5 linked regions of the Callithrix jacchus genome follow. The protein of the gene in region 5 interacts with the protein of the main gene of each other region in a pairwise test. Links are inferred from orthologs where the notes say so. Each region holds a gene or a part of one and is shown on either strand. Other genes may lie near its edges. The genes, in order: ZNRD2, SSX2IP, DUSP12, KLC3 and CCNH.

Region 1 (5,876 bases), on a different chromosome or scaffold from region 5:
TCGTACAGGCCCCACAGCTGGCACAACAGGGACATGTCCAACTGCCGCAGCCCCACCTGCAGACAACTGAGGGTGGGCTGGAGTTGGGGTCCAGGCCACCCCAGCCCAGCCCCATGCCCTGGAATCCTGGGCCCATCTTCCCAGCACCTTCCTAAACAAAGTTTTTGTGGACGTCAGGCACCACCTGCGAGCTTTGCAACTTTAGGCAAGTCCTGACCGTCTCCTAAAAAAATGGGGTTCTCATGCATTTAGCGGGATGAAATGAAGTAACGTCATCAAGACGTCTGGAAATATAGGGTAACTACTGCCGTAATTGGTAACTATCACTAATTATCGTTCCCATAACCCTTGGAACCCGACCTGTGCCTGCAAGTTCTCTGAGACCCAGGCAGCTTGTCTGGGTGTCTGCGCTCCGCTGGTCCGGCGCCCACCCACTCACCATCTCCTTGCGCAGCGCGGCCAGTGCCGAGTCGAGGTTGACAGGACGACGAGGGCCGGCTGCGGGTCCCGCGTTGGCGGCACCCGCGGCGTGGCGGGGCCCATCCGGGGCGCGGGCGGCGCGGCTCAGTTCGTCGTGGATGCGGCTGCGCTGGCTGTAGATGCGCTCCAGCTCCCGCCACGAGCCCCCGCTCGCGTTAAGGAGGCCGCTGAGGCCGCGCGGCAGCGGTGGGAGCCCGGCCAGGGCGCAACCCGCGCCGCTTGACGCCTCGGCCGAGGGCAGCCCGTTCATGGCCGGGCCGGCGATGCCACCTTCTTCCTTTCAACGCTCTGCCCGGGCGGCCGCCCGCAGGCCCCGCACCCCGCGGTCCCGCCGGAGCCAGCCGCCGCCCGCAGGCCGCGCTTTGTTCCTTCCCAAGCTCCTCAGACTCCGCCTCTGCCCCACCCCCTCCGCATGGGCCGGGCCTCTCTTAAAAAGGCAACAGCTGTGGAACCACTCGCGCAAAGCTGAGAAAAGGCAGCGGGGCACCCACCCAAGGGGAGATGGAAAAGGGAGGCGGAGAGGGGGAAAGGCCAAAAGGGGCAGGCGTGGTTCCTTCGCGGTTCCTTTTGCTGCCTCGTCTCCCTGCCGCGCCCCGATCCCCGCCTCCCCCCCGCCCCCAGTTCTGTCCATTACCCTCCCAAGGAAAATGATCTAACAGTGGAGTCAGGAGACTGGCAAGTCCACACTTGGTGCCTAACGTGCCCCTTGACGCTGGGGTCACCACAAACTCCTGTCGGTCGGTGTCTGAGTACCTGGGGTGGGCATGGCTGGGATAGGCTGATAGGGTCAGAATGCTCAGGGGAAGAGAGGATTCTATCAAGAGGATTGGAACCCAAAATCTCACTTCCAGGTGGGGAATGGGCACCGGATGGCGGAAGAGGTTGCAGAGGTGCTGCCAGAGACAAGGGTAGGGTCCAGCCCTCTGGCTCCTACCTTTGAAGAGGCTATGTCCTCTTCTTGAGAAAAGGGGCATCACATAGTCCTCTGGCTAATCCCTCATCCTGACTGGGGAAACTGAGCAGAAACAAGCTCAATTCATCTCAGGGCGTCAAGAAGAGCAGAGAGTGGAGAGGTGAGAGGCCAAAAGTTGAAAAAAGTGAGTGGAGCTGCGGCTGGCATGCACACTCAGAACCAGGAAAAGAACAAACCACACAGAGGAACAGCTGTTTTTCTAGAGGGTTTTTCTCAGGGGCTACTCTCAGTGCTGCAGCTGCTGCAGGCTGCACAGGGCCTCCGCACACGCCCGGATAAGGCCACACAGCTGGATGCTAGTCTCCAGGGAGGTGCTAGCGCCCAGTTCAGCAGAGGCCCAGGTCAGCTTCTGCAAGAGGGCTGTCTGTGTGCAGGCCATGACATCTGCATTTGGAGGCACAGCAGGAGGGGGTGGTCCCTGGGCTGCCTTGAGCCCTGCTGCAGCTCCCTCACAGTGCTCTGGACGAGGTACTGGGGGCTGGGGTGCAGGTCGAGAGCCCAAGGCGGGCTCTGAGGCTGAGGCCAGCTGGTGCTCCCGAGCTTGGGAGAGGGCAGCCTGGGCATTCAGAGCTAAAAAGAGGAGAAAGTGAGTAGAATGGTCAGGATGCCTGGCCCACCTCAGCCCTGAGTCATCTCCTTTTCTGCTCTGCTCTTTCTGTGCTTGAGGTGTTTTCCCTGTCCCTCTATAAGGCAACTTATCCACTTTCTACTATGTATCACATTTATGCCCTAGCTTCAACTCTCCATCAGTACTGGGTCTGACTGAGCTCAGACTCTCGCGCAGTGGCTGGCACACAGAAGGTGCTTGCTGCTCTTACTGAGTGAATAGTCCTCTTTAAAGCCTAAAAGAGAAAACATTTTACCTCTGCACCACCCAGAGACTCCACTGTCACCTCCCAGGCCTACTGTTCTGCGGCCTCTATCACCACTCATCACGCTTCTCCGCCAATCACACACCTCTCCCGGATTATTTTTTTTACCCTCACCGGGATTATCTTTATCCACGTCTGAGTCGAGTTCTTGACAAGCAACGCAGTAGATTTTCCGCTGTTTGTCTTGGAGGAGGATCGTCTACGGACCAAAAAGCACATGGGGCCGGAATGAGACGCGGCGCTGAGGTCCAGAAGGGAGGGCCGAGGAAGGGCTGAATGGCCTGGCCTGCGCCCCATCCCGTCACTCTCCCGGGTCTCGCCTCACCCCGCAGTCCGCGCACGTCTCGCCCAGCATGCGGTAACCGCGCAGCAGACAGTCTCCCATGAGCCGGGAGATGCGATCTTGCCGCTCTCGTCGCGCCTGCAGCACCTTCGTCTCCGCCTCAGTTGGGGGTTCCCAGGAGAAGTCGTCGACTTCTGGGGAAGAGAGGCATAGAGACTGGGATCTTGCCGCAGGGGGCTGCCTCCCGTAGCCGCAGCCACAAGCCCCTGCCGCCCAAGTCCTCACCAGCGCCGTTCAGGGCCATGTTGCCGTGGCCGCCGCTGGGCTCACCAGAAATGACGTCTAAGCGGAGCGCCCTCCGCTGCGGCTCCGCCCCTTCCACAGCGGCCGCGGATCACGACGGAAATGACGCCTCATCGTGGTCCTCACACCTCGCTGAGTCCGCAGTGGGGCGTGTGGGCCGCTGCGGAGAACCTGCCTGGGGAACGCGTCGTCAGCCGGAATCCAGGGGACTGAAACTTTCGACGCTCGGGGCCTCGGGACGGGCGTCTCTGGTAATTCTGCTCCAAGTCGCAAGATCTGGGAGCCCTTTCCGTCGTGAATGAAGGGGACCACAGGTCCCCGCTGGCCTCCGCCTCCCCTGGGGTTTCCCTTTCGGCACAGGCGGGGCAGCAGCGTCCTCACAACCATCGCCACCCCAGTAATCACAGCGAGCGGCCCTTTGCGCGCGCGTGGAGCTTCCTCAGGCCTCAGTGCTTCTCACTTCGCCTGGCAAACCCGGCCCGGAGGGGAGCATTCTCGCTTTCCGCCTATTTCAAGACCCCTCCCCTTGTGCATGCTCGGTGTCCCAATCTGTCTCCCCGCTGCCTCCCGAGGCCTGGGACTGAAGCAAAGTCCGCCCCGAAGCCGACCTTTCTTTGAAGTTGAAACCCTCAAAAAGCCTGCGGACTGAATAGCGCTGTACCGGTCACGCGCATTCCGGTTACAGCCTCCCTTGAGTGCTGCGTGCTGGGCAGGGTCGGGTGGGGGCTTCTTACATACTCTTTCGACCGTTAGGCTCTTCTTGGGTGAGTTGCAAGTTAAAATTACCAGGGCTCTCTGAACAGGGACCTTGGTGCTTTTCTCTCTCTCCTGTGTTCTTTTTCCACATGCATCCTCTCCCTTATTAGGAGAAGCCAGACAGGGCAGGCAGGGGTCCTCAGATGTGGTCTGCACGGGCTCGAGGTCGTACACCAGGGCAGTGTTAAAGGAGCTGGACTTTCATAATTACATCAGCAATCCCCTCGCGATGGCACAGGCTCCCTCAATCTGACCTGAAGTGCCCTCCTCCTGGCCCCATCTTCCTCCCACGTAGTCCCCCTAGAACTGTCGTTTTTGCTGCCTCCTGCTCACCTAGAGAGCCCTGTGCCCCGTTCACATGTCCATCTACCAGCCAGGCTCCTGGGCAGCTGCGTACCTTAGAGTCTGTACTCCAAGTCGTTTCTGTCTGGCTGACTAGAGCTACCGTTTTTTTGTTGTTGTTGTTGTGTTTTGTTTGTATTTTTTTGCAGTGATGGGGTTTTGCCATGTTGCTTAGGCTGGTCTTCAACTCCTAGACTCAAGCGATCCTCCCACCTCGGCCTCCAGAAGTGCTGGGATTACAGCGGTGAACCACAGCACCCAGGCTTAGGCTGACTAGAGGAACTGTCTCTGAACCACCTCTTGGACTTCAGCCTGCATGCACAGACTCCCAGGTTATTACCATCTTCAGATCCCAGCCCTACTGTGAATTCTTCAGTGCACGAACTATTTTACCATCATGGCGATGTCCACTCAATTGTCTCTGCTGCCTGGCACCTACAAAGACCCTTAGATGAATCCTCCCACTTAATCTCTTCAATTTATTCCTCATGACAACCTTGTATGGGGTATTATCCCCCATGTATTCATTGCCGTGGGACTGTGTCAGGGCGCCCTGCCTTCATCCCAGGAGAGCAGATCTCACTTGGCCCCGGGGAGATGTATTTGGGAGGTGAGATATAAACACTGGGTGAACTGGGGGTGCTGGGGAGGTGGGTGGCATGAATGGCCCCCACTTCCTGGCCTGATCCCCGGATGGGCGAGGAAGAGGGAGGCCGAGGAGTTGGAAACACGGGCAAGGTCCACAGCTCCGTTCCAGCCCTGCTGAGTTTGACATGCTTGTGAGTCATTCCAAGTGGAGGCTCCTAAACTCGGGAGTCTGCAGCTCAGACAGGACGTCTGGCCTGGAGACAGAGGCTTGGGGTTATACAGGGGGCATCTACAACAGCGGGAAAGGGTGGGCTTACTGTGGAGAGAAGAGGGCCCAGGGTGCCCCAGGAAGGTCACCATTCCCAGGTCAGGCAGAGGAGGTGGAGTCATGCCAAAGACCAGAAAGAGCAGCTGGAGGGAGCAGAGAGGAAAACCAGGAGTGTGGTGGGGAAGAGCCAGGAGGAGGGTGTGGCCCTGAGTGTCTAAAGCTGCTGCCACTAGGATGGGGAGATGACAGTCCTTCTTCAGGGTCTGCGGAGGGGACTCAGTGACAGGGAGCAATGAAAGAGTCCCATCCAGTAGTGATGCCTGACTCAAATGATGCCCATCCAAATTCCTTCAGCTCTCAGGGCCTCTGCAGGAAGTAGCTGAAACCACTGGGGCTAGCGACTGAGGGACATCACTCCAGTGCACACTGCTCCATTGGCATAACCGGGGAGGGCTGCCCACGAGCTGTGGCCCACAGCGGAGACTCGAAGCCCCTGGTCCCTTGCAGCCTGCAGGGAGGGCGCTGGGGGAACAAATATCACCCTAATCTCCTGGCTAGAGTGCAGTGGCGCAGTATCAGCTCACTGCAACTTCACCTTCCAGGTTAAAGTGATTCTTGTGCCTCACCCTCCCGAGTAGCTGGGATTGCAGGTGTGCACTGCCACACCTGGCTAATTTTTTTTTAAATTTTTTTATTTTTTTTGTATTTTTAGTAGAGACAGGGTTTCATCATGGTGCCCAGGCTGGTCTCAAGCTCCCAACTTCAGACGATCTGCCTGTTTCAGCCTCCCAAAGTGCTAGGATTACAAGCATGAGCCACACCCGGCTTCAAAGCTGTTTATCTAGGGAATAGCCACGGAGGATGGAGATAGTGTCTCCCTTCAGAGCAGAGGCCAGGCATGCTTACTAGCTTTGAGTTTCCTAAGCTCAGGGTCCTCTCCCGCAATGCAATTCACTGTGTGCCCACATCTACCTGAGCCTATCAGCATCATCCCCTTGGGACTTAGGGTCA
Region 2 (6,117 bases), on a different chromosome or scaffold from region 5:
TATTACCATCATCTATCATGATTAAATGTGAGATCAGCACAGCTATATTATTTGTACATTGCCCACAAATACCTAGAAAGAGATGGGAAGCAAAATCCTAGGAGTTTTATGTGTGGAGTCCGGGGTTTTCAAATAAGACATCATTCCAACATTCTGAGATTACAGTGACTGGGGATCATTTTGGAATTAGAATGTTCAACAAAAGTAATGTTAAGTAAAATGTACAACTTCTGGATCTATACAGACATCGAGGGTATAATGAGTTTGGCTTTCATTCTGCTGTTTCTTTCACACTTTATATTTTAAAGTAAGTTTCAAGGAACTTTTCTTTCCAGTTTGAGAATTCAACCCACTTTAAAATGGAAACAGAAAACAAAAAACAGATGACCTCCATTGTCATGAAATATGAGATTTACTTTAAAAATCAGAATGTTTACTTCTTACAAAGTATACCATGCAAAACCCTGGGGGGAAATTCTTGACAAATGTATTCATTAACTGTATTTAAAATTTGTGCCTGCCTTTCTTTGACCATGTTACTGCCATAAAGCAAAAAAATAAACACATCCCAGCTAGATTTCTTCCTTTAGAATATGGTAGTGTCTGTGATATTTTGTACCATGTAGAGTATTTTAAATAGCAAAGAAGTGACCATGCATCAAGCTAAAGGTAGTGAGTGACTAATGCTCAAGAGCCAGCTCCTTGAGACTATAAATATGGTTACTGTATTATGAATATATCCACTAATGTCTCATAAGATCCTCTTAATGATATCCTATCAGCCCTGAAAAAATGGCTGCTGCTAGGCAACTCCAAAGAGTTACATAGTTAACGTATAGTGAATGAATAACACAAATAGGTTTTTTTTTAATCATACGAATTTAAAATAGCCACAAACAGGGTGACTGCATGTAAGTGGCTGAACTATTAGTAAAGGGGAAGGTAAATGGGCCTAAACTACAATACTTAGCAAGGACTGGATCTGTGCAGGCGTCTATGTACAGAGACAAGCAGGGTTAGGCACTTAAAGCTTTTTGATGAAAATCCTGGGGAAGAGCTGAGCCTATATTTATATTATACTATCAAAACAACAATATACTTTTCATGAAGAAACATGCAATCAGAAACATTAGAGACTGAAGAGAGCCTAGGAGTTTTCTGAAAATGAAATGGCACGTTTTTCCAGAGTATCATAATATCTCAATTATAAAATTTGATGGTTTTACATTATCATATTTCTTTAGTGGTAAATACCTCATTAAAAAAGTATTAAAAAAATTATTGACAACAAATACAAAGCCCTAGTTAGTACAGATATTACTATACTGGCACCATCTCATAAGGAAAATATCACCATATAGATATCTTAAATATCTTCTATTATCCAATATCTTAAACCAATTTCTTAAATTGTTCTATTCAACGGTACTTTTGTCTTGCCCCTATTCCTCTATCAATAGACCTTTTAAAAATTATAATATCCTACATATATAAAATAAAAATCTAATGTCATAAAAATCTCAAAAATGTAATGTTAGGAGTGTTGATTATCTAAAGACTTCATGGAATAGCTTTAAACATTTATTGCCCAGATGTATTAAAAAGAATTCTTAAATGTAATGATATCAATGGTCCTAATACATCTGTAAACAGAATATCACTAAAATATTTTTACCGGCATGAAATACTATACTTATGGAGGTGTGAAACTTTAAAATCTTAAAGTCTCTTAACATAATCATGTATATCTATGTACAAAACATACATAAATTTCACTTTATTTAAAACATATGAAAGAGGTAATTTCAAATCACACTAAACATAATAAATATAGAACTCGCTTTGTTAAAAATCTACAGTATACATTCAAGTAAAGGCTAAACTTCCAATGCCAATTATATTTGAGACAAAATTAAACATTTACAATAATCAGTTTCCTAAAAGTGCTATTTTTAATACCTATAAGAGGAAACTCATTCTAGTGCTTTTGTTTCCATCCAAACATCTATACATTCCTTTATTCACAGAACCAGATGCTTCTGTTACTAAAAATACATATCCAAAGCTTTTATATCCTTTTAAATAGATTTAACATTTCAACTCTTTGGGGGAAGACAGGGAAGTCCAAACAAACGACTTAGACCATCTTAAGTTATTAGAGATAATTGACTTTATGACACACCCTGTTTCAACTTAGATGTGAGATTTGATGAATATGTTAATGAAAAAAATTCCAGTCCACATGTCTAAGGTAAGTCATCTTTTTCTACATGAGAATTTGTGTAGGTCAAGGAGCATCCACTATAGCAACCTTCCTGTGATCCAGGTCTTGATGCCACACTCCATTTCTGATTTGTACATTCTCCTCCAACCTGATTTGGTTTAATATCTTCAGGAGTTATATTCAGTACATTGATTGAACTGTCGGAAAAGGAAAGGCAGATCTTAGTGACTCTCCTCTGCTCCTTTTATACTGTATACATGCCTGATGTCTAAGGTCTCATCACTTCCATGTCTTGTGCTAATTTACATAAATTTGGAGGACACATGATCAAAAACATTAAAGTGTTACAAAATGGTGTAATTTATCACTTTTATCCTATCTATTCATCTATTTATTTATCCCTTTAGCCTACTTTGATGCATGTTGTCCAACTGAAGCTTAAGGTAGAGAAGCTTAAGGGTTCTGAAAGCTAATATTCCAAATGTCTCCATTTTTCTGCCACTATTATTTATCTTGTAATGCTTTCTTTCTTTACATGTCTACTTGTTAAAGCATCCTTTCATCTATCCACCAAGACAGAAACTTAATGAGTGACTTCAGAAGTGGCTAAAAGACCAGACTCTCTAGTGAGATGGTTTTGGTTCAATCAGCCTCAAAACAAAATAAATCTGCTAAAATGGTAACTCTAAAATCTATGCAATTGAACCAACAATAATACATTTTTCATCAAGTGAATATGTTAGGTAATTTTCTTAAAAACTTTTCTAAAGGTACACTTCTTGTGACTTTTGTTTACTAACTCAACCATATACTGTGGCAATCTTTAAAAAATATTAAGTTCCTTTTAATTCTAAAAATCTAAACCAAAAACCTAGTTTAAAATTTTACTTTAAAAAAAAAAAAAAAAAAGGCTGGGAGCAGTAACTCACAATTGTAATCCTAGTACTTTGGGAGGCTGAGGCTGAGGCAGCCAAACAGGAATTCAGGAAGAGCCTGAAACCCTATCTCTACCAAAAATTAGCTGGGATTAATGATGCATGCCTAGTTTGATCATTTGTACAGGGATTCTGATGACTAAATTACTATAAGTCATCATAATCCCTGTACAAATGATTAAACTAAGTTTTGTAAGTAACTTATGCACAAGTCTCCTTGCCCGGAATTTAAGGCACAGCCTTTATGTAAAATTCCATTCTACAGTGAAGGAGCAATGAGGATGTTGTAGAAATTAGCTACAAATACTCCTAATTATTTTGTTGTAATATTATTATTAATATAAACCAAGATCTAAATGCTTCAGGAGCAAGAGAACCAAATTTATCAAATAATTTAAAATGTAAAGAACCATGTCAGGAATCACAGCTTCCCTATTAGTTATAAAACTCTTTTCTGTTTGCTTTATTCTTGGAGGCTAGTTAACAATGAATAGCTTGAATTCCTTTAAGCTCCAAAATTGTTTCTATACCACTGGTGTTGTTGAATGGAGCATTCAGAAACAGAAAAGCATGTTTATATTTGTTTACATATATTTTTATTTTTTATTTATTTTTTGAGACACAGTCTCCACCCGGGCTGGAGTGCAGTGGTACAATCTTGGCTCACTGCAACCTCCCCCTCCTGGGTTCAAACGATTCTCCTGACTCAGCCTCCCGAGTAGCTGGGATTACAGGTGCCCGCCACCACACCTTTTATATTTTTAGTAGAGACGGAGTTTCATCATGTTGGCCAGGCTAGTCTTGAACTCCTGACCTCGTGATCCACCTGCCTTGGCCTCCCAAAGTGCTGGGATTACAGGTGTGAGCCACCGTGCATGGCCTATATTTTTATTTTCATAGTCTGTCACTAAATGTTTATAATGTAACTAGGTACTGTTTTTCAGTGCTTCTAATATATTAACACTTCACTTGCAACTCCCTATGATTTAGGTACTAAATGCTGAACTTTATTAAACACAAAACAACGCCTTCAAGAAATACTTATGCCAAATATTTCATAACTAAAAACAATTATGTAAAAAGCTAAATATTTAAAATATATAAAAACAATTGAGACAATTACATTATGCTATCTCTTAGATATAAAATGCATTCTTTGTAAATGGTGGCAGAATTTGCATCTATATCTATATAGATAGGTCTGATTGGTCAAATCTGCAAGTCTGAATAACATTCTATGTAAGAAAATACTAGGAGCTTACACATTATCTTTTGACTGTAAAATAAATGTTCACTTCCCATATCCAACTCAACTATTGGCTCTAACTTCAAAATAAATCCCAAATCCAAGCATTTCTATCTTCACATTATGACCCTAGTCCAAATTACCATCATCTTTTGTTTCCACTCCAATAGTGCCTCCTAACTGAATTTCCTGGTTTATATTACAGACTCCTACAATCTGCTTTCGACGTTATAAAACAGTACTCTTTATAAAACTTGTTTTCGCTCTGTTGCTTAAAACTAATGTTTCTTCTGTTCCCCTTAGAACAATATTTAACCTACAAATGCACACTAAAATATTCTGTAAATAAAATCCCAGATGTGTTTGGGGTGGGGAGAGCAAGCTGAGTGGGATTACATATGAACAATACTGATCATGAGTTAGTAAATGCTGAACCTGAGTGACAGGTACACATGGGTTCATGATCTGATTCTCTCTGTATCTGTGCATATTTGAACTTTTACATTTCTCCATCCTCATCTCACACCTCTAGGTCTTGTTCACTATGCTCACCATCACAAATGCATGAAGTGTGTCCCACCTCAGGGTACCTACACTTGGCTAGAGTGCTCTTACCTAGCTCTCTTTTTCATTCCCTCTAACACTTACTTGGGGTCCTAATCCCCTCACCTCTTAAAAGTGAACATAACTTATAGGGTGTTCTCCTCCTCCTTTTAAGTTTCATTTCTTGTTTTAAACTCCATCTATTTCATAGTTCTTGGCCCAAGGGCCAGCTGGCTTATTTGACACTTAGTTCCACTCCAGTCTCTAGCACAGGCCAAGTTTGTTTCAGCTCTGACTGGCGCTTTCCAAGGCCCTTGTCTCCTATTTTTAATTAAGAGCAAAGAGATTATCACCACACTTCCCAACTTATCTCTCTAATCTTTTCTATTCTCTGTCTTACTAGGAATGCTCTACCTGCTTCCTCTGCTTCATTTAAAACTAAACTTGGAACTGGCTCTGAAGTAGAGTATTGTTGTTATCTCAGAAAATGATTTAATAACTTGAGATAGAGGAAAATATCAAAATGCAGCAATTAAGAGCAATATACGGGTTTCCTACGGTGGAGAGCCACGTATTTTTACACTGTCATCCTTGGGCACAGATCTTTATCACTCAAGATGAATAGGTTTTTTCAGTTCTTTGCCCTTCAACAACAATAAAATGGGCATGCCAGAAAAAAAAATTTAAGATATGTACTCTACAAAAACTGTCAAAACAACATCCTTCTATTTAATACAATTAAAGCACTTTAAACATTAACTCCTATAATTAAGACTGTATTCTAAGTTGTATCTTAAATGTGAAATAAAAAGACATACATACATACGATTTACCTCTAAAAAGACAACGAACAGATCTACTTGTTCACTCTCGTATTCCCAGCATCCAGCAGTGTCTATATATACTGGACCCTCAACAAATATTTGCAGAATGAATAAATCATCTATTAATTCCTCTCCAAAGTCTCTACTGTTGCTGATACTACACACACACCACCTTTCCTGCAGAGCAACTTCAGCAATTTTTAGAAATATGTGAAAAGATCACCTATAGACAAATACCTATGTTCAGACATACAGGAACGTGTCTGGCAAAAGTCTGAAGTGGAAGGTGAAGCAGGAAGAGATTTAGTAAGTTTAGACATGCAGACTGGAGACCCATTAGACATA
Region 3 (5,638 bases), on a different chromosome or scaffold from region 5:
TTTTTAAAAAAACCACCTTATTATAGTATAATTCACAGGACATACAATTTACCTATTTAAGGTGTACAATTCAGTGGTTTTTTAAAAGTGTATTCACAGTGTTTTTTGCAACCGCCATCATGTATTAGTCCATTTTCACACTGCTTTAAGATAGTATGTGAGACTGGGTAATTTATAAAGGAAAGGTTTAATTGACTCATGATTCTGCATGGCTGGGGAGGCCTCAGGAAACTTATAATCGTGTTGGAAGGGAAAGCAGGCCTCCTCTTCACAAGGCGGCAGGAGAGAGAAGCATGTGTGAAGGAGAAGCTATCACTTATAAAACCATTGGATCTTATAAAAACTAACTCACTATCGCAAGAACAGCATGGGGGAATCCGCCTCTATGATCCAGTCACCTCCCTTCCTCCACATGTGGGGATTACAATTTGAGATGAGATTTGGATGAGGACACAGGGCCAAACCTTATCACATTACCATTCACAGCACCCGAAAAATAATGTACACATTATCAGTCACTTCCCATTCTTTTTTTTTTTTGAGATGGAGTTTTGCTCTTGTGACCCTAGCTGGAGTGCAATGACGGGATCTTGGCTCACTGTAACCTCCACCTCCTGGGTTCAGGCAATTCTCCTGCCTCAGCCTCCTGAGTAGCTGGGATTACAGGCACGTGCCACCTTGGCCAGCTAATTTTTTGTATTTTTAATAGAGACGGGGTTTCACCATGTTGACCAGCATGGTCTCGATCTCTTGACCTCATGATCCACCCGCCTCGGCCTCCCAAAGTGCTGGGATTACAGGTGTGAGCCACTGCGCCTGGCCCTAACTTCCCATTCTTGATGGCATTATTTGTAGCAGTTAGAGTTTTTAATTTCGGTTATATCTAATTCATCAGTTTTTCTTTTTTGTGGCTTGTGATTTTGACTTTCTGATTTTATTTAACCTGGGAAACAAACACACACTCCAACCAAGTTAAATACATTTTTATGTAAGATTCTGAATCCTGTGCATACTTCTTTGTATACATAGTTGAATTTTTTTCTATAGAATATGTACCTAGAAGTGGAATTCCTGGTTCAAAGAAGGTGTGTTTTAAATATTAGTGATATTCTAGTACAATATCCAAAATACTCATATAAATTTGGGTTTCAGTAACAGAATGCATGTACCCCATATCCTTGACATGATAGATACTATACAACTGGTAATGTTTTGTCAACCTGTGGGGTAAAAAATGTTAATCCTAAAATGTTTAATTGGAATTTTGTGAAAATAGTCATCGACCACCATCTTTATATATTTACCAGCCATTTATAGTTTACTTTTCTATAAATTGCTCTCATATTCCCGGGCCCATTTGTCTATGGGTTTTATAAACTCTTTCTTACTGATTTTTTTTTTTTTTTTTTTTTTTTTGAGACAGAGTCTCACTCTGTCACCAGGCTGGAGTGCAGTGGCACAATCTTGAAATCTCCGCTCACTGCAACCTCCGCCTCCTGGGTTCAAGTGATTTTCCTGTCTCAGCCTCTCACGTATCTGGGACTACAGGTGTGCGTCCCCACACCCAGCTAATTTTTGTATTGTTAGTAGAGATGAGGTTGTACCATGTTGGCCAGGCTGGTCTCAATCTCTTGACCACGTGATCTGCCCACCTCAGCCTCCCAAAGTGCTGGGATTACAAGTGTGAGCCACTGTGCCCGGCCTTCTTACTGATTTGTTGGAACTTTATATATTCTAGATGTTAATAGTTTATCTAATATATTATAACTATTTTCTTCAGTCTATTGCTTTTCTCACTTTTTTTGTATGTTTTGTCATATTAAAAAATGAAAGATATTTACATAATCAAATTTGTTAGATTTTTATTTGTGGCTTCTGAACTTTTTTTTTTTTGAGATGGAAGCTGTTACCTAGGCTGGAGTGCAGTGGCACGATCTCAGCTCACTGCAACCTCTGCCTCCCGAGTTCAAGTGGTTCTCCTGCCTCAGCCTCTCAAGGATTACAGGTGCCTGCCACCATGCCTGGCTAATTTTTGTATTTTTAGTAGAGACAGAGTTTTATCATGTTGGCCAGGCTGGTCTCAAATTCTTGACATCAGGTGATCTGCCCACCTCAGCCTCGCAAAGTGCTGGGATTACAGGTGTGAGCCACCGCACCTAACCCACTTCTGAGTTTTATGTCTAGATTTTCTATAGCTCAAGATTAAAAATAAAAACCCCTACCTTATATCATGCACAAATCAAAGAGCTAAACATAAAAAATAATGCTGTAACTAAGTACATTAGAAGAAAATGAAATAGCCGGGCACGGTGGCTCAAGCCTGTAATCCTAGCACTTTGGGAGGCTGAGGCAGGTGGATCACGAGGTCAAGAGATTGAGACCATCCTGGTCAATATGGTGAAACCCTGTCTCTACTAAAAATACAAAAAATTAGCTGGGCATGGTGGTGCGTGCCTGTAATCCCAGCTACTCAGGAGGCTGAGGCAGGAGAATTACCTGAACCCAGGAGGCAGAGATTGTGGTGAGCCAAGATCTCACCATTGCACTCCAGCCTGGGTAACAAAAGCGAAACTCCGTCTCAAATTTAAAAAAAAATGAAGAAGAAAATGAAATTGACTTACTAGGTTTTTTTTTGATTTAGCTATTTTCCTGGAATATCAGTTTGTCTTTAAATAGCCAAGAATCTGACTTATATGCTGTCAATACATATGGTTAGTAATATAGCACGAAAATCCTAACATGCTTTTCTGTACTTTAGCTGTGATGATTTTCATTTGAAATCCTAAATTATAAACTGATTTAAAAGCTATATATGTATGCCACATCCATGAAACTTTCCTTATATCACAAGCTTCACTTTTCTCCCTTCAAGCTACATCTGTTCCTTCTCTAAACTTCCTGAATACAACATTCTTCCTATGCAGTAATTGTAGTCTAGTATCTATTACAGTAAGTTTCCAATGCATTTTATCTTAGTGATTAGATTATAAACTCAAGGCGGGGACTGCGCCTTACTTGTTTTAATGGCCTGTATTGAATACCAAAGATAATGACTTGTTTTATATAAAGCGAATGAATAAAGTAACACATTTGCTTTATTTCAGCTTCTTTGTCCAAAATGCAGTGCCAAATTGGGTTCCTTCAACTGGTATGGTGAACAGTGCTCGTGTGGTAGATGGATAACACCTGCTTTTCAAATACATAAGAATAGAGTGGATGAAATGAAAATATTGCCTATTTTGGGATCACAAACAAGAAAAATATGAACATGGTATTTTACAGCTTCGGAAGAAACTTGCAGATGATATGTGCTGCCCTTACTTCTTACCATTCATGGCAGATTGTTTAGGCTATCAGCATTTCATTTGAAATGTGAGAAGATAAAATCACTTGATGTAACCTGGAAACTATGCTTTGTTAGCTTATTACGTGATATAAGTAGAATACTTTACGTGGCAACCAAAACCTTTTAGCCATATACATTGTATTTGATATTAAAATCTTTTATAACCAGATACTGTCTACATTTCATGTATTTTTTTAAGTTCTGATTTTTGGAATGTTACATGATCTTAAGGTCTGTATAGACAAAATTATTTACAAAAAAATTTGAAACTATTAAATTTAAATGGGTATTCTTTTATTTTCAGAAATGTAAAGCAGATTCGTTGAGACATATTTTGGAATTATTTCTCTTTCTTTCTTCCTTTCCTTTCCCTTTTCCTTCCCTTCCCTTCGCCTTCCCTTTCCCTCCCCTCCCCCTTCCCTTCCCTTCCCTTCCCTTCCCCTCCCCATTCCCTTCCTCTCACTCCCTCTCCCCTCCCCTAACCCCTTCCCTTCTCCTCCCCTCCCTCTTCCTTTCTCCTCCCCTGCCCTTCCCCTTCCCTTCCTCTTCCCTTCCCCTTCCTTTCCTTTCTTTATTTTCTTTTTTTTTTTTTTGAGACAAAAAAAAAGCCTGTTGCCCAGGCTAGAGTGCAGTGGCAGGATCTTAGCTTATTGCAACCGCCGCCTCCCAGGTTCAGGTGAATCTCCTGCCTCAGCCTCCCAAGTAGCTGCGATTATAGGTGCCTGCTACCACGCCCAGCTAATTTTTTAACATTTTTAGTAGAGGCAGGGTTTTGTCATGTTCCCCAGACTGGTTTTGAACTCCTGAGCTTAGGCAATCTGCCCGTCTTGGTCTCCCAAAGTGCCGGGATTACAGATGTGAAAGCCACTGCACCTGGCCTCTTTAAGGGATGTTAATAAACCCATACATATCTGGATTTTTTTTCTTAGAAATATAAAGGAAAGGCCATTAGTAAAACACTAATTAAAATGCAATTTTCCTATTATTGTTCAGTAATCCCAGTTATCTATATTTTTAGAAAAGTGTTTGAGATCTCTTTTGAAGTGATTTATATAAAGAAATGTGTTACTGTTAGATGTGTTTCTAATGATAAAACAAATGTAGTTACTATATATCAAGTCATTTTTAGCCCAATATGTGAATATTGGAAAAGGTAATATGTTCAGATTAGATTTTTAACCTGATCTATAGAAACCCAGAATTATTTTACTCAATAATTACAATTGGACCTAATTAGGTATTTGAACATTTACAAGAATCACAATTAACTAATAAAGGCCAGGTGCAGTGGCTAACGCCTGTAATCCTAGCACTTTGGGAGGCCAAGGCAGGCAGATCAGTTAAAGTCAGGAGTTTGGCCAACATGGTGAAGCTCCATCTCTACTAAAAATAAAAAATTAGCCAGGCATGGTGGCACACACCTGTAGTCCCAGCTGCTCAGGACACTACTCCAAAAAAACTAATAAAGAAAAATATTGTCCATGTCCTCAAGACATTTTGCATATTTACACATATGTATGTATCTATGTATATAATAAACACCATAGTGGGAGTAATTTTAAAATACAAAAATATGTTGTGAATAATGATCCTCTTAATAAATGCCTAGCTCAATTTTTAAATATATGGGAATATTACGGAAAATTCTTGAGAAAAATCTTAACATTGGACCTGAAGCCTTTGGCAATCTCCATGTAATCATTTTTCTTTTTTTTATTTTTTGAGATGGAGTTTCACTATTGTTTCCCAGGCTGGAGTGCAATGGCACAATCTCAGCTTACTGCAACCTTCGCTGCCTGGGTTCAAGCGATTTGCCTGCCTCAGCCTCCCAAGTAGCTGGGATTCTGGTGTGCGTCACTATGCTTCGCTAATTTTGTATTTTTAGCAGAGACGGGGTTTCAACATGTTGGTCATCGAACTCCTGACCTCAAATGATCCACCCACCGTAGCCTCCCAAAGTGCTAGGATTATAGGCATGAGCCACTGGTCCTGACATAAGTTTTCTTTTGAGAAAAAATTACTTCATTGGTTTTAGCTTTCATAAAATCATACTTTTTAGCTTCACACTATTATTCTCTAGAAAGCTTTTTAAAAATAGGTTGAGGAGATTGGGCGTGGTGGCTCATGCCTGTCCCAGGACTTTGGGAGACAAAGGCGGGTGGATCACTTGAGGCCAGGAGTTTAAGACCAGCCTGGCCAACATGTGAAACCCTGTCTCTATTTTAAAAAATAATAACAGGTTGCAGCATATGAAATTACCCCTTTTGTAGATAAAAAGTAGTTACATAGCTG
Region 4 (6,784 bases), on a different chromosome or scaffold from region 5:
TCTCTGCCTGGCTAAGTGACACTCTCCCCCCAGATGTGTCCCACTCCCTCTCTCCCCTTCTCATAGCAGAGCTTTTCCTTCCTCTCCTATTCTGGCTGTCCCCTGCCCTGACCTCCCCAGATGCTCCATGCTGGCAGAGTGGGTAACACAAGCACCCAATCGGTCCCTGCCGTTCCTTCCCCCAGTGACGGCCAGCCACAGCACTCACCGGTACACCAGCGCCAGGATGTTCAGCATGGTGGCCACGTCAGGGTGGCAGTGGCCGGAGCTGCGCTCCAGGTCCTCCAAGGCCTGGCGGCACAGAGGCACTGCTACCTCATAGCGGCCCTGCCCCGCGTACTGGATCACGAGGTTATGCAGGGTTCGAAGTCGGGCGGGGATCTCGTAGCCGCCCTGCTGAGCCGCTGCTGCTCCTGCAGCCTCAGGACCTAAGTGGGGGATGGGGTGGGCTCTGAGTAACCGCAGCCTCTTGCTCCTCCAGCCTTGCATGAGGGGACACTGCCCAGAACTGCCAGACTGCCCAACTGGTCCCTGAAACTATAGCCCTACCCCCAACACTGACTTCTAAGATTGGGGTCACTAGCATCTAACCAGCTGGAACACAGCAACCCACCTGCCTTGTGGAATGTGAATACAGGGCCTGCCGTGCAGGGGGGCTACCCTGCCCATTGTCACATTCAGGGTCCTCCTGAACCTGCCCTTACCTCCCCCTCCCCTGCTCAGAGACTAGGGTCTGGCAGCTCAGAGCCCCCTCCCCGCCCTTGCCATCCCTCAGGGCATGTACCCCCTGACACCCACCTTTCCTCTCCTCCTCGCTGGGGAACAGGGAGGCCAGGCTGTCTCGGCGAGGCGGGGACTCAGGCTGCTGCAGGGACATGGAAAGTGGGGGGTCAGGAGGTGTGTGGGTTTCAGAGATGGGGCCCTGGATCTCAGGGTTTGAGGGAGGTGGTTATCACGAGTGTGAGGGGCCCCGGGGGACAGGCGAGGTTCTGGGAACTTCGTGGAGCAGCTGGTGGGGGTGTCTACAGGAGTGCTGCTGGGTCTGTCTGGGGGCTCTACGGAGGGTTGGGGGTCTGGGGACTGTGGGACACTAAGGAGGCTCTAGGGGACTGTGGGACTCTAAGGAACTCTAAGGAGGTTCTGGGGGACTGGGGCTCTAAGGAGGGTTGGGGGGACTGTGGGACTCTCCAGAGGGTCAGGGGAACTGTAACGAGGGTCTGGGGGACTGTGGGACTCTACAGAGGGACTCTAAGGAGGGTTGGGGGGCTCTAAGGAGGTTCTGGGGGACTATAGGACTCAAAGCAGGGTCTGGGAAATATAAGGAGAGTCGGGGAACTGTAGGACTCTAAGGAGGGTCTGGGGGGACTGTCGGGCTCTGTGAAGGGTGAAGCCCCCATGCCGCCTTGACCTGCCTGTGGTACCTGGCTTTCTGGAGATGGGTCATACTGTCGCAGTTGCCCCAGGAACTCCAGGTGGTGCTTCTCCTCCTCCAGCTGGGCCACAGCCTCCTCGCTGGCCCGAAGCCGCCGCTGTGTCTCCTCCAGTTCCTCCCGAAGCCACACGTTCTCCTGGGCTAGCCGCCGGGCCTGTGCCCGCAGCCGCTGCTTCTCTGCCTCCAGTGTACCCATGTGTGCTGACAGGGCCAGCAGTACCTGCCCGGGGTGGGGGTCCTAAGTCGATGCTGGTTCCTACCCTTCCAGGCAGCCCACAACCCAGCCCAGGCCTCAAATCAGGCTGCAGCCCCTCACTGCTATGCACAATACCCCAAGTTCTGCAGAGACTCCACCAATGCAGCTCCAGTGTCCTCAGTTTCCCAGGGGCCCCTCTGATTTCACCCCCACACTCACCCCAGGACTCAGTTTGCTGAAGAATGCCATCTGGTTCAGGGGTCCCTGTCACAAGGACCCCATAAAGCTGCCAAGGGACTCGGTCTCTGGCCTGGAGCCTCCCCTTCCCAGGCCTGATTTCCCCAGGCCTCGCCCTGCAGCATTGCGCCTCTCTGGCATTTTTTTTTTTTTTGAGGTGGAGTCTCGCTCTGTCACCCAGGCTGGAGAGCAGTGGCATGATCTTGGCTCACTGCAACCTCCGCCTCCCAGGTTCAATTCTCCTGCCTCAGCTTCCTGAGGAGCTGGGACTACAGGCATGTGCCACCATGCCTAGCTAATTTTTGTATTTTTAGTAGAGACGGGGTTTCACCATGTTGACCAGGCTGGTCTCGATCTCTTGACCTCATGATCCACCCACCTTGGCCTCCCAAAGTGCTGGGATTACAGGTGTGAGTCACCGCACCCGGCTCTGCCATACTTTTTTTTGAGACAGTCTCGCTCTGTCACCCAGGCTGGAGTGCAGTGGCACAATCTCGGCTTACTGCAACCTCCATCTCCCAGATTCAAGTGATCCTCCTGCCTCGGTCTCCTGCGTAGCTAGGACTACAGCCACGTACCACCATGCCCAGCTAATTTTTTTTGTTTTTACTTTGAGATGGAGTTTCACTCTTGCTGCTCAGGCTAGAGTACAATGGCTTAATCTCCGCTCACTGCAACCTCTGCCTCCCAGCTTCAAGCTGTTTTCCTACCTCGGCCTCCTGAGTAGCTGGGACTACAAGCGCCTGCCACAACACTGGGCTGATTTTTGAATATTTAGTAAAGACCGGGTTTCACTAGGTTGGACAGGCTGGTCTCTAACTCCTGACCTCGTGATCTGCCCACCTCAGCCTACCCAAGTGCTGGGATTACAGGCATGTAATCCTTTAGTTTTTGAATTTTTAGTAGAGATGGGTTTTCACTATGATACCAGGCTGGTCTCGAACTCCTGATCTCATGATTAGCCGGCTTCAGGCTCCCAGTGTGCCCCTCTGCAATAGTGAGCTTCATACCTGGCCCTCCCCCACCCTCAGCTGACTGTCCCCCAGCCCCCCACCTAGCCCCCCTCATACCTGGGCCTCGCCCAGCCCCAGCTCGATGGCCTCCAGCGAGTGGCTCACCACCTGCTGCTTTTCCTCCAGCATCTCCCAGCCAGCCACTGGGCCTTGTCCCGCCAGCGCCTGCGCCAGGTGCCCTGCCAGGCCACAGTGCTCTGCCCGCAGCGCCTCCAGACCCTGTACCACTTGACGCGTCTGCCGCACCAGCTCCTCAGGGCTCAGGCGCTCTGGGCCCAGCCCCGCGCTTCCGGGTGCTGCCACCTGCACAGACATTGCTGCTTCTGGAGGGTAACAGTGGGGGGGTCAGGGAATCATTGCCAGGGCCAAGCAAGCTGGCCCCAGCCTCTACTCCCATAATAGCCATCAGGACCCCTAACTTCTCCCCATCCTATCTCTTCCCCACTCCACCCATTCTGGCCAGCCCTCTGCCTCCATACCCTCTGCATCCCAGTTTCCACACACATCCCAGCCCTCAGCTGACTGTCCCCCAGCCCCCCACCTAGCCAGCTCTCATCTAGAACATTCTAACCTACCTTCCTCTGTCCTCCCAACCCAGGGTTCTGCCCAAATCCTATGCATAATTAACCAAGAGAGGGCAAACAGCTGGCCTGGGGGTCCCCCATCTTCCCTCAGCTCACCTGCCCAGCCTTCCCCACCCCAAGGCCCCTGGATCTCTGGGCCCAGAGCTCCAGGTCGGCCGTGTGACCTGGGAGAGGCACCCTCCTCTGCCGGGCAAGTGGGGCGGGACATGTGGAGGCGGCAGCCTCTGCGTGAGCTCATTCTTAGGGTGTTTTTGTTGGGAACCAGTCAGACCACTGGGGGTGGGGTGTGGTGGGAGGAGAAGGCTGAGGGGCTGGGGCCCCTGGAAGCCCAGGAGGCCTCTAGGTTGGGGGGGTAGAGGAGGGGGTCATGTGTCGGCTCCCAGGTAACAGGGGCTCCACCCTCTTCCATCACAGACAGGCTCAGCCAGCCCAGGGCCTGTTGGGACACACATGTGATAGGTGTGGTCCAGGGATGTCACACTGGCCATGGGACAGCTGAGGGTCTGAAGCCCAGCTCACAGTGGGCAGGGCCCCTCCATGGGACTTCATGTGGTTGTATGTGGGTCACAGCTTAGCTGGCGATGCCTCTGGGGTCCTCCTAGACACACACACTCCTCAGAAGCACACCTCACACACCTCACCCTCCCTTCTTAAAGGCACAATGCAACACCCACATTCTCCTCTCTGAAATACAATTTGACACACACACAAATGTCCCCTTCTCTCAAATACAAGACAGGGACCGGCATGGAGGTTCATGCCTGTTATCCCAGCACTTTGGGAAGCTGAGGCAGGCAGATCACTTGAGGCCAGGAATTTGAGACCAGCCTGGCCAACCTGGTGAAACCCCATCTCTACTAAAAATACAAAACAAAATTAGCTGGGTGTGGGGGTGGGCACCTGTTGTCCCAGCTACTCAGGAGGCTGAGGCAGGAGAATCTCTTGAACCTGGGAGGTGGAGGTTGCAGTGAGCCCAGATCGTGCCACTGCAATCCAGCTTGGGTTACAGAATAAGACTCTGTCTCAAAACAAAAAACATGGTATACTCATGTACCCTCCAAAAATAGTTACACACACATACTCCCTCATTAGAAATACAGTGGAGGCCAGGTGTGTGGCTCACACCTGTATTCCCAGCACTCTGGAATTCTGGCTGAGGCAGGAGGACCACTTGAGACCAGGAGTTTGAGACCAGCCTGGGAAACAGCGAGACCCCATCTCTACAAACAAAATCAAAAATTTAGCCAGGTGTGGTTGGTGGCATACCTGGAGGCTGAGGTGGAAGGATCGCTTGAACCCAGGAGGTTGGAGCTGCACCGCTCAGCCTGGGCGACAGCACAAGACCCAGTTTAAAACAGAAAAAAAAAAAAAAATCAACATATACATTCTCCTCTTAAAAATACAACTCTACACACACCTACATTTTCCTTTTAGAAATACAACCTAACAACACACTCAGGCACACACACATATACTGTTCCTTCAAAAACAATCTGTACACACTTCCCTTTTAGAAATTCCACCCAACTCACAGGTATATTTTCAGAAATAAAAGCCAAGGCTGGGCATGGTGGCTCACGCCTGTAATCCCAGCACTGGGAGGCTGAGGCGGGTGAATCCCCTGAGGTCAGGCGTTTGCGACCAGCCTGGCCAACATGGTGAAACCCCCTCTCTACTAAAAATACAAAAATTAAGCTCAATGTGGTGGTGGGTGCCTGTAATATCAGCTACTTGGGAGGCTGAGGCAGGAGAATCACTTGAACCTGGGAGGCCGAGGTTGCAGTGAGCCGAGAGGGTGCCACTGCACTCCAGCCTGATGACAGAGTGAGATGCCTTCTCAAAAAAAAAAAAAAAAAAGAAAAGAAAAAGATGCTAGTCTAAGCAGAGGAAAACTCACGCAGAAACTAACTGTCTCTCCCACTCGTGAAATCACTCACTCAGACCATCTCCGTGCACCTGACCCTGACACTGTCTCCCAAACTCACACAGCCCCATAAAGTGCCTCACACACCTCTAGATTCACATACTCCCAGGATCATTTTGGAGCCCCCGCCAGCTTCCCCACCTCCTCCTCCTCCCCCTCCAGGCCTGGCCAGCAGGGACTCCCACACCTACACACTGTGTACTGCGATTCAGTTCCGCTGTCAGAACAGAAAGCTGTGGATGTGCGCGGAGGGATGCCACGTTCACGCACACTTCGCTCAAGGCACTGCGTCCACCATAAGCAGTGCAGCAGTTTCTATGTCACACACGCGCAATCACATACAGTAAGGGGCCTGCACACTTTGTGCACCACAGACTTGTCACTGATCTCTCTCTCTAGATATATGTATATATGTGTTGATGTTGATGTGTGTGAACATTTAAAAAAAATTTTTTTGAGACAGTCTCACTCTGTCGCCGAGGCTGGAGTGCAATGGAAGGATCTCGGCTCACTGCAACCTCCGCCTCCTGGGTTCAAGTGATTCTCCTGCCTCAGCCTCCCAAGTAGCTGGGACTAAAGGCGCATGCCACCACACCCAGCTAATATTTTGTATTTTTAGTAGAGATGGGGTTTCAACGTGTTGGCCAGGATGGTCTTGATCTCACTTCGTGATCCACCTGCCTTGGCCTCGCACAGTGCTGGGATTACAGGCGTGAGCCACCACACCTGGCCTTTTTTTAAAATTTGATTTTATGTTTTTGAGATCAGGTCTCACTCTGTTGCCCAGGCTGGAGTGCAATGGGTACAATCTCGGCTCACCACACCCTATCTCCCAGGTTCAAATGATTCTCCTGCGTCAGCCTCCCAAGTACCTGGGATCACAGGCGCCTACCACCATGCCCGGCTAATTTTTGTATTTTTAGAGATGGTGTTTCACCACGTTGTCCATGCTGCTCTCGAACTCCTGACCTCAAATGATCCACCTGCCTTGACCTCCCAGAGTGCTATGATTCCAGGCGTGAACCACCACTCCCAGCCAAGCTTTTTTTAATTTTTAAAAAACTAAACTATGCCCAGCTAATTTTTGTTTTTTTGTAGAGATGGGGTCTCACCATATTGCACAGGCTAGTCTAGGACTCCTGTGTTCAAGCAATCCTCCCACCTCAGGTTCCCAAAGTGTTGAGATTACAGATCACACCATACCTATTCTCATACCTCACACACACGTATCAGTGGTTGAACTCACAACCAGTCTCAAGAGTCACCCTTACAACCACGACCATTCACACAATTTTGCCAATGTAACAACCTCCCTCCATAACCTCAGACACAGCTACACACACACCACTCCACGGCCAGACCAACAACCACAGCAACAAACACGCTCAACCACAGCCA
Region 5 (6,117 bases):
TGTATTTTCCTTCGTTGGAGATATAAACTAAATTTAATCTAGTTAGAGAAAAATATTTTACAGTTGTTTAATTCACTGAACTTGTGTTGTAATTGTTGACCTAAAGGTTCTTCCGAATGATCCAGTCTTTCTTGAGCCTCATGAAGAAATGACACTCTGTAAATACTATGAGAAAAGGTTACTGGAATTCTGTTCAGTGTTTAAGCCGGCAATGCCAAGGTCTGTTGTGGTAAGTTACGGTAGTGATGAAATATGATGTCCTTTAGTTGGCTTGTGAAATCTGACCTCTTCTAAATTTGTAGCTAAGTTCCCAGTCCATTTTAGTTTTAAAAATCACCTTTGTTACATTTAATTAGCTTTTGACACATTATATATTTTTCAATACAGGCCTTAAATCATGAATTGCTGTATCATCTCTTCCAACGTATTTCAAGTCTCATTTTGTAGTAAAAAAAAAAAAAAAAAAAAGAAAATTGAGGTCAGGTAATGGTATAAATAAAGAAAATTAACTTACTTTCCTCTAAGTTTTCAACTAGTGAGCCTTAGAACCAGAAATAGAACTAGACTACTGCTTTTCCAACTCTATGACACCCGGTAGATGTTTGAAATAATACATTCATTCATCATTTGTAATCATATGCTCCAGCTGAAACTGATGCCATAAGATTTTTTTTTTAAGCTTTGATTAGTAGAAGCTGGAGTTTTATCTTTGGTTAAAAAGATTGTCATATTGTTTCAGATGTATGATTCTGAGGACCTGTGGGTTTTTTTTGTTTGTTTGTTTGTTTTGCTGGGGTGCACAACAGTGAGGAGAAACAGGTAGCTGAGATTAAAAAGCTGAAAGATAAAAAAGTGTAATGGGGGAGTGTTAAAAATGTTTTTATGTTATTTTATCAGGTTTGTTGTGAAGACTAAATGTAAAAGTCTATTTTAAGTAAAAGTCTGTTAAGTTTTAAAGCTATATACAATGCGATTAGCTTCTAGGAAATTATCTCCATTTTTATTGTTGAAAAAACATTGAAGTATGTCGAAAATATTAAGTCATATAACTTATTTTTTTTTCCATATGAGATATCAAAGATTCAGAGAGTTTTAGGTGTACTCAGTTTCTGTCTTCAGATTTGGCTTATTCTTACAAAAGAATTGTAAAATGAGGCAGTAAATTTAAGTGATTTTATCAAATGAAGAAACCTTTAATAAACTTCTTTATGGAATTTATCTTTAAATAACATGTTTGTGATTGGTGAATAATTTTTTGTTTTAAATAATGACAAAACTAAACTTTTAAAATATTTAAAAGGAAATATTTTTTCTATCATAAAATAGATAAGTGGTTATTTTATTGGTTCCAGCCAAGTGATATAATGGTTAAAAGTACAGGCAGGTGTTAACTTGAATTCATTCCTGTTCCTTATTAGCTGTGTGACTTAGATAAGTCAGTTAACCTTATTGATAACTCAGTTTCCTTCTCTGTAGAGATAGTAATACTTCACTAAGCTGTTGTAGGGATTAAAACATGATGATAGTTTAGAGTCTGGCACATGGGATGCATTCAGTAAATAGTAGTGCTGCTTTTGCTGTTCAGTTAGCAGCAGTGATCACAAATCATGGAGTGGACATACGGTTATGTAAAAAATATGAAGTGACTTTAGAGAGAAGGCTTATTACCTTACCCATGTATTTTTGTTAATATTTTTATAAGATTGGTTAATCTCTGAACATTTGTATTTTTTCTCCTTGAATTTAATTCAGGTCATTTTTGGTACTCTGAATTCTGAAACACACATACCCTATTTTTAAATCCAGTGACCATAGGAAGGATTAGCCAGAGTAGTCTGGGGATAGACAACCAAAGGACGGGAAAGGGTCTTTTGGCTATGGCATTTATGTAGTAATTCATCAATTTATTTTGATTAAAGAAGAATTAATATTAGCATTTTTATGGGTAATCTCTACAAAGAAACCTTTCCATAAGTAAATTCTGTTTCACAAAATTTAACAGGTAACATTTGTGAATACTGATGATTTTTTTTTAACCCTTAGGGTACAGCTTGTATGTATTTCAAGCGTTTTTATCTTAATAATTCAGTAATGGAATATCATCCCAGGATAATAATGTGAGTATGTCTGTCTAATTTATTTTCATTTAAAGAGACTTTTATACTCTTTGAGTATTTGTGGAAGGAGAGTTGTGTCAGAGAACTGACTTCCTAATCTAGGTCATTTAGACTTGAATTTTTTTTTTTTTTTTTTTTTTAATTCAGAACTTAAGATCTCTATTTACCTATACTTCGGTAATACTGATGGCATCTGAACTTCAAGTTGTCCAGATTCAAATTTTGTTTTTCTCAATTAGGTGCTTCTCTAATATCTCTCCCTGTTAGACGCCTAAGTTCTTCCAGTTGTTCAGACCGAGAATCATTTGTAGTGGCCCCTCTCCTTCCACATGCAGTCAGTGTTTGGATGCTATAACTTCAGATTCATTTCAGTTGAACAAAGGTCTCTTGTTTCTGCTCTCTGCTGAGCACTGTGTCTATCATTAAAGTTGAAATTAGTATGAGACTCATCAAAGAGCTTGTTCTCAATGACAACGTACCTGTTTTCTCTTTTCGATTCCCATTTCCTCCAGTCAAGATTAGGCCCTTGATCTCACTTCCAACCTTGATTTTTGCAATAGCTTTTTTAACTAGTTTCTTATACTGAACAGCATGAAGTGGCCAGGTAAATTTCACACATTTGTCCCTGAAATAATAATTCCTTATTCAGATGCCCTCAGAGACTTCCATGGATGGGCTTCCACAAAGTTCCTTAAACCTACTTTTCTTCCCATGCTTATATGATATATAAGCGGGTATTGCTTTATTTTTAACTCTTTGTCTACATGATACAAAGTATTCTTATTCCTCAGTTAATTTGTTTTTCCAGATACTTAGGTTGTCCTGCATGACACTGTCATTGAGTGAATGATGGTTGAATGCCATGGCAATATTAGTTGGTTTGACCTGATTTTATAGTCTGCCTTATGTCTCCTAATGGATGAAAGTGTGAACAAAGAGCTATCTTAAAAATATATATATATTCCTGCAATGTCTACCAGTCACTTTTGAATATCAGACAATTATAGAATATACTTTTAGAAATAAATTAGATATTTCTCAAAGTATATGCATGTTGTTCCACCCCCCACCCCCGTACCTCCTTATTTTTTCCTCTAGGCTCACTTGTGCATTTTTGGCCTGCAAAGTAGATGAATTCAATGTATCTAGTCCTCAGTTTGTTGGAAACCTTCGGGAGAGTCCTCTTGGACAGGAGAAGGCACTTGAACAGATACTGGAGTATGAACTACTACTTATACAGCAACTTAATTTCCACCTTATTGTCCACAATCCTTACAGACCATTTGAAGGCTTCCTCATTGACTTAAAGGTAAACTTGATGTAAAATAAACGAACACATCGCCTTTCCTATTCTTTAACCAAGAGAATCCAAAATTTTAAAACCCTTAATTGTTATACCTTGGATATACCACAGGCCCTCGATGACATGTGGATCTGACCTGGTCATCGAGGGCAGTTGTTTCCAAACTTCTGTGGGCATGAACAGACATCTGGAGAAATTGTTAACTCAGATTGTTGGGTGGGACTTACAGAGTTTCTGATATAAGTGATCTGCAGTTCTGCTCCAGGGACGTAATGAAGACCATGGAGAATTTAGAACAGTGCCTATAAAGGTTTGAGATAACTCTTCTGACTTTGAATTATATTGTCATGGATATTGGCATGATTTAAAGAACCATAAATTCTTAAACTTAAACTAGAAGATTGCTAAGTCACTTCTATTTTTAGAGGTTTGTGAACTTGAGTCACTATGTAGGCATCAATAATATATGTAAACAAACATTGACAAAAGCAACCTTTAGATTGTTTTGTTTGGCTCTGACAGAATAGTTGGATAGTCTAAGTCGAGTCAAACAGAAATCAGAAACTGGTTTATTCATATTAGTTCAGTGGCTCAATTTGGGTACTTTTTATGTGCCAGACTTTGTGCTTGAGGATGTAACCAGAAACAGGAGAGGAACAGTCTTAACTTTTGGGAATTTTACAGTCTAACAGTTTTAGATAATCATATCCAGTGTGCTAAGTGATACAGAGAGGAAGATATATTTTAGAAGGAGATAACAGATTAAGGGGTAAGGAAAATATTCTGAGAATGTATCATTTAAAATAAAATTCAGAGTAGGAATAGGTGAGAGAAGAACATCCCAATCAGAGACTTCACTGGTCAAAAGCTCAAATTCAAGAAACCATTCTTTGCTAAAGAACCTGGGCAGAGCCTAGCAATGCAAGGGGAAGAATATCACAGACAACAACTACCAGTGTGGAAGGCAAAGTCTAGAATGTGGAGACAATGATACACATTTCCAATACAGCAAAGAGAAGCCAGTGAAAGGTTTAAATTTAGAGTGGCATAATTAGATTTTCAGCTTTAAAACATCATGTTGGCAACCTTATGCATCAGGCTGCATCAGGTATTTATTGCACATCTGTTGTGTCAGGCATACGTGGAGAAAGGATTTGAATGAATTAAGGGAGTAATGGGGTACTGTTAAAGGATTCCAGGCAAAAGATGGTGGTGAGCTTCACTCATATGAAGTTCATGAACTCTGGGCTTGAGTTACAGTCTGAATATCCCTTATCTGAAAAACTAGGGACCAAAAGTATTTGGGATTTCGCACACACACACACTCAAAATCCTTATATATTTTGTTCCACTTTAGGTTCTGGGGTGCATGTACAGAACATGCAGGATTGTTGCATAGGTACATACATACATGGCATGTGGTTTGATGTCTCCATCCCTCTGGTCACCTGTATCTGGCATTTCTCCAAGTGTTATCCCTCCCCATCCTCCCTACCCCTCTATGTCCCTCCCTTATTCACCCCACAACAGACCCCATTGTGTGATACTCCCCTCCCTGTGTCCATGTGTTCTCATTGTTCAACACCCGCCTGTGAGTGAGAACATGCAGTGTTTGATTTTCTGTTCTTGTGTCAGTTTGCTAAGAATGATGGTTTCCAGATTCACCCATGTTCCTACAAAAGACATGAACTCATCATTTTTTATGGCTGCATAGTATTTTATGATTTATATGTACCACATTTTCCTTGTCCAGTCTATCATCAGTGGGCATTTGGGTTGGTTCCAGGTCTTTGCTATTGTAAATAGTGCTGCAGTGAACATACAAGCGCATGTGTCTTTATAATAGAGTGATTTATAATCCTTTGGATATATACCCAGTAATGGCATCTCTAGGTCCTTGAGGAATCGCTACACTGTCTTCCACATGGTTGAACTAATTTACACTCCCACCAACAATGTAAAAGTGTTCCAATTTCTCCACATCCTCTCCAGCATATGTTGTCCCCAGATTTTTTGATGATTGCCATTCTAACTGACATGACATGGTATGTCAGTGTGGTTTTGATTTGCATTTCTCTAGTGACCAGTGATGAACATTTTTTCGTATGTTTGTTGGCATCATATATGTCTTTTGAAAATTGTCTATTCATGTCCTTCACCCACTTTTGAATGGGTTTGTTTTTTTTCTTGTAAATCTGTTTTAATTCTTTGTAGATTCTGGATATTAGTCCTTTGTCAGATGGGTAGATTGGAAAAAATTTTTCCCATTCTGTTGGTTGCCGGTTCACTCTAATGATTCTTTTGCTGTACAGAAGCTCTGGACTTTAATTAGATCCCATTTGTCTATTTTGGCTTTTGTTGCCAGTGCTTTTGGTGTTTTAGTCATGAAGTCCTTGCCTGTGCCTATGTGCTGAATGGTATTGCCTAGGTTTTCTTCTGGGGTTTTTATGGTGCCAGGTCTTATGTTTAAGTCTTTAATCCATCTGGAGTTAATTTTAGTGTAAGGTGTCAGGAAGGGGTCCAGTTTCTGCTTTCTGCACATGGCTAGCCAGTTTTCCCAATACCATTTATTAAACAGGGAATCCTTTCCCCATTGCTTGTTTTTGTCGTGTTCGTCAAAACGTTCGTTGTAGCTGTGTGGTGTTGCCTTTGAGGCCTCTGTTCTGTTCCTTTGGTCTGTTTCTCTGTTTTGGTACC

What was found.
Region 1: the proteins of CCNH (region 5) and ZNRD2 interact in binary tests that used the Homo sapiens proteins (3 or more experiments, as listed by UniProt). The two-hybrid records come from large-scale screens. The link is inferred for Callithrix jacchus from reciprocal best matches to the Homo sapiens genes CCNH and ZNRD2.
Region 2: the proteins of CCNH (region 5) and SSX2IP interact in binary tests that used the Homo sapiens proteins (3 or more experiments, as listed by UniProt). The link is inferred for Callithrix jacchus from reciprocal best matches to the Homo sapiens genes CCNH and SSX2IP.
Region 3: the proteins of CCNH (region 5) and DUSP12 interact in binary tests that used the Homo sapiens proteins (3 or more experiments, as listed by UniProt). The two-hybrid records come from large-scale screens. The link is inferred for Callithrix jacchus from reciprocal best matches to the Homo sapiens genes CCNH and DUSP12.
Region 4: the proteins of CCNH (region 5) and KLC3 interact in binary tests that used the Homo sapiens proteins (3 or more experiments, as listed by UniProt). The two-hybrid records come from large-scale screens. The link is inferred for Callithrix jacchus from reciprocal best matches to the Homo sapiens genes CCNH and KLC3.

The regions. Positions count from the first base shown.
Region 1 is NC_133511.1:122,652,131-122,658,006, reverse strand, and holds ZNRD2 (protein ZNRD2), read right to left. Parts: upstream 2,946-5,876; 5' UTR 2,913-2,945; coding exon 2,894-2,912; intron 2,803-2,893; coding exon 2,651-2,802; intron 2,525-2,650; coding exon 2,440-2,524; intron 2,024-2,439; coding exon 1,680-2,023; 3' UTR 1,646-1,679; downstream 1-1,645. Other genes in the region: FAM89B (leucine repeat adapter protein 25), read right to left, coding at 1-56, 440-730. UniProt on the Homo sapiens protein: Might play a role in mitosis. Antigenic molecule. Could be a centromere-associated protein. May induce anti-centromere antibodies.
Region 2 is NC_133508.1:121,862,371-121,868,487, forward strand, and holds part of SSX2IP (afadin- and alpha-actinin-binding protein), read right to left. Parts: coding exon 6,010-6,117; intron 5,270-6,009; exon of another isoform or gene 5,075-5,269; intron 2,422-5,074; coding exon 2,247-2,421; 3' UTR 1-2,246. UniProt on the Homo sapiens protein: Belongs to an adhesion system, which plays a role in the organization of homotypic, interneuronal and heterotypic cell-cell adherens junctions (AJs).
Region 3 is NC_133519.1:21,597,050-21,602,687, forward strand, and holds the end of DUSP12 (dual specificity protein phosphatase 12), read left to right. Parts: intron 1-3,104; coding exon 3,105-3,266; 3' UTR 3,267-3,513; downstream 3,514-5,638. UniProt on the Homo sapiens protein: Dual specificity phosphatase; can dephosphorylate both phosphotyrosine and phosphoserine or phosphothreonine residues. Can dephosphorylate glucokinase (in vitro).
Region 4 is NC_133523.1:39,523,034-39,529,817, reverse strand, and holds the start of KLC3 (kinesin light chain 3), read right to left. Parts: upstream 3,804-6,784; 5' UTR 3,701-3,803; coding exon 3,559-3,700; intron 3,202-3,558; coding exon 2,936-3,201; intron 1,653-2,935; coding exon 1,422-1,652; intron 866-1,421; coding exon 799-865; intron 429-798; coding exon 209-428; intron 1-208. UniProt on the Homo sapiens protein: Kinesin is a microtubule-associated force-producing protein that may play a role in organelle transport. Plays a role during spermiogenesis in the development of the sperm tail midpiece and in the normal function of spermatozoa.
Region 5 is NC_133503.1:123,462,492-123,468,608, forward strand, and holds part of CCNH (cyclin-H), read left to right. Parts: intron 1-106; coding exon 107-229; intron 230-2,043; coding exon 2,044-2,117; intron 2,118-3,215; coding exon 3,216-3,426; intron 3,427-6,117. UniProt on the Homo sapiens protein: Regulates CDK7, the catalytic subunit of the CDK-activating kinase (CAK) enzymatic complex. CAK activates the cyclin-associated kinases CDK1, CDK2, CDK4 and CDK6 by threonine phosphorylation.